Linked DNA regions of Drosophila melanogaster. The protein of the gene in region 2 interacts with the protein of the main gene of each other region in a pairwise test. Each region holds a gene or a part of one and is shown on either strand. Other genes may lie near its edges.

The links.
Region 1: the proteins of CG7148 (region 2) and SkpB interact in a two-hybrid assay, tested with the Drosophila melanogaster proteins (2 studies listed by BioGRID).

The regions. Positions count from the first base shown.
Region 1 is NT_033778.4:12,138,717-12,142,368, reverse strand, and holds SkpB (SKP1-related B), read left to right. Parts: upstream 1-2,139; 5' UTR 2,140-2,384; intron 2,385-2,442; 5' UTR 2,443-2,444; coding exon 2,445-2,930; 3' UTR 2,931-3,074; downstream 3,075-3,652. Other genes in the region: Smyd4-4 (SET and MYND domain containing, class 4, member 4), read right to left, coding at 1-1,098, 1,155-1,418; CG18343 (uncharacterized protein), read right to left, coding at 3,212-3,511.
Region 2 is NT_037436.4:21,830,002-21,834,205, forward strand, and holds CG7148 (uncharacterized protein), read right to left. Parts: upstream 2,253-4,204; 5' UTR 2,096-2,252; coding exon 1,545-2,095; intron 1,486-1,544; coding exon 789-1,485; intron 732-788; coding exon 615-731; 3' UTR 543-614; downstream 1-542. Other genes in the region: Nopp140, read left to right, coding at 2,878-2,976, 3,179-4,204.

The DNA.
Region 1 (3,652 bases), on a different chromosome or scaffold from region 2:
CGCCTTAATAGGCCGCAGGACGAACATGTACGCCTTGGTGCCCTCGTATATCCTTACAGTATTCGGCGCACAAGAGTGATTTATGAGCGAGAGGAAGGCGTACGCCCCAGACGAGTGCGTCTGGTCGTCCTTGGTCTCGTTAACCTGCTCGACCAGGTCGATGCCGTGCATATTCGAGGGAGATGTCTGCAGATGTCGGAACAGGAGGTCCGTGAAGAAGTTCACGCCTTCTTCGCCGCCCAAATATTCCTTGACGGGTGTGTATTCGATTATGAAGTGCTTGAGCACAGCACAGACCACGGAGCGCTGGAAGAGATCGGAGACGGAGCGCAGGTGCTGGTTTGTCACCAGTCCATGGATGGCCCGGTAGTGCTCCTCCGGCGTCAGCTCGTTGTAGTTGAGGTCAAAGGCGCACTTGTCCTGGTTCTGCTCCTGCTCACAGAAGTCAATTAGCTCCTCGATGCTGGGAAAGATATTCAGCGCGACCAGTGTGGTGCGCAGTGCGATACAGTGGATCTTGTTGAACATGCGGTTCAGAAAGTCAATGATGGGGCACTCGTAGCGGTGATAGGTTTGCATGGCAATCGACTTGCACTCCTCGGAGCAGAACATCGTGGAACAGCAGCTGTCGCAGGGTATGAGGGTCAGATAGTTCTCCCGCTTGCAGGTGGCACACCGAATGTATCGCATCGGCGTCAGCAGTGTGGAGCAGAAGGGCTCCTCCACGGACACAAGATCCCCAACGGCCAAATCCCGATTGGTCACCACAAAGCGACCCTCGGCGGCGGTTTCGCGCAACTCCAAACAGTCGGCGATGAAGGGCACCTGGGCATGCGGTTCGAAACTGAGCTTGAACTCATAGGGCACCACATCCGGCGGTTGCTGATCGAGTAGCTGTTGGCAGTCCCTTTCTCGCTTGTCTAGTTTGTGGCTCAGTCTCGCCGGATAGTTGGCCTGCCTTGCCAGCTTGATATTGTCCAGGCATTGCCGATAGCGCTTCCACTCGAATAGTACCGCCGACCGATTAGCATAGCCGATGGACAGGTGCTCCGAATTCGGTTCGGCATAACAGATGCTTTTGTTGTACAGCTCTAGAGCCTGAAACGAGTCGCAGGGATTAGCTTAAGTTTGCCGATTGAGGGGGCAATGATTACCTGGAAGTAATTCCTGTTCTTGAGCGAAAACTGCTCGTTGCCCAGCATACGGAACTCCACGCTCCGCTTGTTGCACTTGTCCTCTCGAAGCGTTACATTCAGGAATATCTTTTCAATGTACTTGAAGTCAATAAGAGCGCGCATCACGAAGTCAACCTTGCGATGGTTCTCCTTCAGCTCGTTGAACTTGCCGGATATGATGCCGATTAGTTTCCAGTCCTGCAGCTTCTTTATCAGATCATCGCTCACGTCGTACACGTCCATCTCTTGTGCGGGGTAGTTTCGGAAGTCCTTAGTGTCCTGGAATTTTCTCCGGATCGGATTAGATCTGATCGGATGGCTTCGGATCCTTTGGTTCGGTCCGCGTGTCGACGCCGCCGCCTGTTTTTTTCAGCCGGAAAAAATGTTCTTTTGGCCCACTGCCGGTGCCGCGATTTCTTTAACTGGCGCAAGTGCTGACCGCTAATTAGCGATTTCACGGGCGATTACTATTCGGAAATATTCTAATTATGCACACGGCGATTTTAATGTTATTTTTTTGACGATTCCGCTGGAAGCAGTGTGGAGTATAGCCTGCGAATATATAACCCAGCACAGAGGGAAATGTACTAAAAAATGCCGCAAGTTGACTGCTTGCACTAGCCGCGACACAAACCCTTGGCCTAGCTTAAAATTGTTTACAAAAATATTTGAAATTTGAAATTCATTAAATAAAAACAGGATAAAAACTAACTATAAAGGCAGAATTTTGTAGGTTTCTGTTTAAATAATACAACGCCCAGCACGCTTGAATTGTGCCAAAATATATATGTTTAAAAAAAATATATATATATACATTATAAAAAAATATAACTGAGCTTTTGTTTACCGCTAGCTGTCACAGTGTCTCCACACCATTAACTGTAATAGGCGCCATCTTTTAAAGCCATTCCGAGTATGTGCACACTGGCGGCCGTTTCACTAACAAATTTCCTCTTCAAATCGTACGACGTTCTAGTTTTCTAAGAATCCGGGGAATTATTGGCAGCCAAGTTCTTTATTTAACAAACGCTCTGTTCTCAGGCGGCCGCCGCACCAGTCCGGTTCAAGTTGAAGGCAAGGGAATATTATTTTTAGCCAGTAGGCCACAGCTAAGTGACATCGTGTTGTGTCTAAAAATTTTGTTTGGCTGCGTCTGCAAATAAATCAAACCGATTTCGTATCAAATCTTGGGATCCAAATCAGCAGGAGGTGTGTACGAATAAAATTGAAAATATAGATATAAGCAAAAATAAAAATTTTTACGCAGAGATGCCCATCATTCGGCTGGAGTCTGCGGACAAGGAGATCTTTGACACGGATCAGGAGATCGCCAAGTGCTCGGAAACGATTCGCATTGCAATAGAGGATTTGGGCGATGAGAGCGACAACAGTGTGCTGCCGTTGCCGAATGTCAACTCGCTGATCCTGAAGAAAGTGCTCCACTGGGCCACCTATCACAAGGACGATCCTGTGGTTACCGAAGAGGTTGAGAACAAGGAGAAGCGCACTGATGACATCTCATCCTGGGACGCTGACTTTCTCAAAGTCGACCAGGGCACGCTGTTCGAACTGATCCTCGCGGCAAACTACCTGAATATCCAGGGTCTGCTCGACGTCACCTGCAAGACGGTGGCCAATATGATCAAGGGCAAGTCGCCGCAGGCTATTCGCGACACCTTCGCCATCCAGAATGACTTTCTGCCACAGGAGGAGGAACAGGTGCGCAAGGAGAACGAGTGGTGTGAGGATAAATGAATACCATCAACTTACCATGACGAAATTAAAGCTTAAATTTTTTGTTTAATCAACATTTCAATTGAGATAGTTAGCTGATCATGTTAAGAGTCAGCAATTGTTCTGTTGGGTTAATTAAATAAAATATTATGCTTTAATGTTGGCAAGTGCTCTTTAACAAAGGAATTAATGACAAACCGTTTAATGTAATTTACAGTGTTCTTCAATTTGGAATTTATATTTGATTTAGTTAATGTAGTTTAAAGGCCGTGGTCCCGATGGCATTCGCCAGATTGGTCACTTCACCCGGAATAGCTAACAGATGTGATGTCGACGGAGCCCAAAGCTAGCAGCAATCGGATGACGAAGAGGGCGATAACCACTTTGAGGACGATTCGCACGCAGGACAGCAACAGTCGGAAGCCGAAAAGTATTGCGTAGCACGTAGCCCCCAGGAACACCACGTATGTGATCAGATCGCCCAGAACAGAGTACATGGACGCGTTCCTGTAGACACATTCAAGGAACTGCGTGCCGCATTGTTCGCCATGTCCCCAGCCGTATTGCTCCCGTCCGTTGCCAATACTGCAGCTTTTCTCCATGTTTAGACTGACGTATATGCTGGATAAGCCGACAAATGGGACATTTCCTTTGTCCAGTGTGCAAAGCAAATCTTCCAGTTGGAAAAAATCAGCTGTCTAGTGTGACCGCATTTCGATCGTAGTGGCAGCACTGCATTTTTT
Region 2 (4,204 bases):
TCGGTTTAGCTAGGTGAAGGACATTAAGGAATCCGTACTCACAATCGCTGTCCGAGTTTTCACCTATCGTATCATTGTTCCTCAGGATCTGCCTGATATGTACAGCACTGTTTTCTTATGCTCTGAATTCAAAAACGTTTTTCAGCTTGAAATGTCAAATTTAATAATTTTTGCCTGCAGATTAGATATCCATAGGAGCGGGAGTTACACTATCGATTGCATTATAGTTTTTGGGGAAACAACAAGTTGACTTCCAAACTACAAATTATATCTTACAGTTATTATACCTGGCAGTAGCAATATACATATTATCAGGGGTATTCAGCTAGCTATTTCATAGCTATAAATGATTCCCAGGGAACAAAGGTAAAAATGTTGCACGTTATCGTCAGCTCATTTTCATATTTATTTTATTAAAACAAATTTATTTAAATAATTTAACTACGGTGCTCTTTGTCACTACGTGAAGGACAGCCTTAGAAAACAACACGGAAGTCCGCATGGAGCACTCAAAACTTTGAAATAATAATCCAATTTGGCGTACTTTGTGCAACATAAATTTTAATAATAAATTATTGTATGAATCTACGCTTGTATATTTACATATTTTGAGGTCAGTGAAATTCAAATTGGTATCCGCGGTCCACAAAGCTCAGACCGCGTTCCGAGTCGACTGGAAAGTCGGCGGTGAAGACAATATATCCTCTATATTCCAAAGAGCTCTTTAGGTTCTGCAATGGATTGATTGATTAGATAAAAGAAGAGCGACATAAACAAGAAATAGTAACCGCTCTATCCACAAAGTCCTCAAAGCCACTTAGGTCGTAGTAGAGCTTCAGAGGTGGCGAACGTCCAACTCCCGTCTTCTGCTTGAACGGCTCCCGCCGCTTAAGAATACTCAAGGCCCGTGGCAAAAATGTTGGCGTCAGATTTCGGCAGTAGGACACGTCGAGGTGTTCCAATCGTGGACAGAGTTCCACGAATTCTAAGAGGATTTCGTCGCTTAGGTCATTCCAGTTGCGCACGCAGAGCAGCTGCAGCTCTGTCATACAGGTATAGCGCTTTAGGTAGTCTGCCGAATGAGTCCAGCTGCAAATGGCCAGGCGCTTCAGCCTGCGATGCGTCCAGATGGGCAGCTTCTCATCCCAGCCCGGTTCAAGGGGCATATAGTACCCGTCCACGGCAAAGCCGACGATGTCCTTGGCCTTGAAAGCCATGATCTCGTAGAACTCGCTGACCTCGCGGATCTTGTGGTCATAGCTATCCGGACTGACCAGCGGGGGGATATGCCACTCGTTGTCCAGCAGCACCACCAGTTTCCTGAGGGAGGGCAGCTCCAGAACGGCGGGTAGAATGGGTTTCAAGGTGGCCAGATTGAGCTTAAGATCAGTGAGGTTCTTAAAGCTCTGCAGGCAGTTTCCCAGCTGAAGTTTACTGATCATATCGTACGTCCTAATGTCCAGGACCCGAAGATCGTGCAGCGTGCTGTGGCGCAAACGGAAAATGAGTTGCGAAATATTATGCAGCAGAAGGTTACTACTTACCGGCACACCTCGTCCAGGTACTTCTGCTGCAGCTCAAACGCCTTGTGCTGGTCCTCGTAGAGGTGCAGCTCCTGCAGGTGCTGGAAGTTGGATAGGTACCGCCCGTCGATGGGTGTGGTAAGGCGCAACTTTTTCAAGCCCGGCAGCAGGCGGGCCAGCTTGCGGATGCTTCGGTTCGTGGGATAGCAATCGACGCCGTCTGGGTCGTAGTAGAAGCTGGTCACCATGGGCAGCTCTGCAATGTGCATTTCGTCCAGATCTTTTAGAATGGAGCACAGACAGCTGCTGCCGCCCATTTCTCTGATGTACGGACGCATTTGGGTTAGGAAGTAGACCAGGTCTTCATGATTGGGCAACAGTACCCGCCACTTCTCCAGATCCAGTTGCTCGTAGGCATGGCTGGTGCGCCACTTGCTCAGACATATGTACTGCACTCGCCGGCAAGTCCTCGCGAAGGACACTTCCGACGGCAGGTCCTGCAAGCGATCGAAAATCTCGGCCAGACAGTCGTCGTCCAATTGCAGAATTAGGGATCTCGGCTCGGAAGCCATGGCCCGGGATGCGATCCTCGCGACACAATCTAGGTACAGAGTCTGTTAAAATAGCCGGAGCGAGAGATAGTTTCTGTATTCTGGATCGTTTCAAGCAGGTCAACTCAATTGAATAACAAACAAAAATACATTTTGGTGCTCCCCCAATGTGACCAGTCGTGGATGGTCTGAATACCTCACGCAAAAAACGTAGGTTCCTTACATTATGTTATATATACGCTAATTGTTTGAATACAATTTAATAATACAGTTTAGTAATTTATATATATATACATAGACATATAGACATATATATATATAACAAATTTAACAATACAAATTTATTGTTATATATGTCTATGTATATATATATATATATATATATATATATATATATACAAAACTAAAATTACAAATTTATTGTTATATATGTCTACATATATACATATACATATATATATATACATATATATATATACATAGACATATATAACAATAAATTTGTAATTTTAGTTTTGTCTAACGTAGCCTAGCGTTATTTCTAATTTCAAGATCTTTGTCGGTGTGGCATAAATAAATGATTACAATTGATTGGCATTTTCGAGTTATTCTTGGGAAGAATACCCGCTGCATTGACAGTGTTGAGAAACGGGGTGCAGGGGTGGCCACACCGTTGGCAGCCGCGTAGTGCTGCCATACCACTGATAAGTAGAAAACACGTGTGAGTGCGCATTCTTTTTTGTGGGACAAGCGGCTAGTAATTATTTGCGGACGGAAAATATTGACGAATAGTTGAATTAATCATGACAGACCTGCTAAAGATAGCCGATGCAATCGTCCTGGAGTACTTGCAGTCCAAGGACAAGAACCTAGCCAAGGTTTTCCAGCAGAAGACGAAGGCGGTAAGTTTCAGTGCAGAGCGGCAAGTGCAATATGTGCGGTTTGGATGCACCCGAAACATGTGGTATCTGCGTCCTCCTGATCTAGAATCCGAGGGCCTTGCTGTCCGCCGATGGCTCATCGAGCTGTCCACCTGCCACTTGCTGCAAGTGCCACGTGCTTCGTCCAGATAACCAAGAATTTCTGCCTTTTTCTAACTTGCAGGCCAGTGTCGCCAAAAGCAGCCCAAAGTTGAGTGAAATCCTTCAGTTCTACCAGACCAAAAGCCCCAAAAAGATCCCAGCAATCAAGGCGACAGCCGGAGACTCCAGCGAAGACAGCGACTCAGACTCTGAGTCTGATGCGGCGCCTAAGAAGCCAGCGACAGCTCCTGCACTAACAAACGGCAAGGCTGTCAAAAAGGCAGCTTCTTCAACCAGCGAGGACAGCGATTCAGAGGAGGAGAAGAAGCCAGCAGCAAAGGCCACGCCGGCCAAGGCTGTCGGCAAGAAGGCAAAATCCTCCAGCGAGGACAGTTCCTCGGAGGAAGAAGCACCCAAAAAAGCTGCTCCAGTGAAGGCACCTCCGGCCAAGGCGGCTCCCGCGAAGAAGGTTGAGTCCAGCAGCGAGGATAGCAGTTCCGAGGAAGAACCGGCAAAGCCCGCCGTCAAGGCCACAACGACTAAGGTTGCTCCCGCCAAGAAGGCCGACTCCAGCAGCGAAGAAAGCAGCTCCGATGAGGAGACTAAGCCAGCTGCCAAGCCTGTAGCCAAGGCTGCACCGGCAAAGAAAGCAGCATCCTCCAGCGAGGAAAGCGACTCCGATGACGAGCCAGCCGCCAAGAAGCCTGCCGTCCAGCCTGCCGCAAAGCCAGCTCCTAAGGCAGCCGCTTCTAGTTCCGAAGACAGCAGCTCAGAGGAGGAGGTCAAACCCGCTGCTAAATCTGCTGCCAAGTTGGCTCCTGCTAAGAAGGGGGCTTCCTCTAGTGATGATAGTTCCTCTGAAGACGAGGCACCCAAAAAGGCAGCAACTCTCGCAAAGCCCATTTCTAAGGCTGCTCCCACCAAAAAGGCCGACAGTTCCACTGAGGATAGTTCTTCGGAAGACGATGCTCCTAAGAAGGTAGCTCCAGCAAAGGCTACGCCAGCTAAGGCAATTCCTGCCAAGAAGGCAGCTTCCAGCGATGACAGCTCCTCGGAGGAAGAGGCGCCCAAGAAGGCAGCTCCAGCAAATGCCACGCCAGCTAGGGCA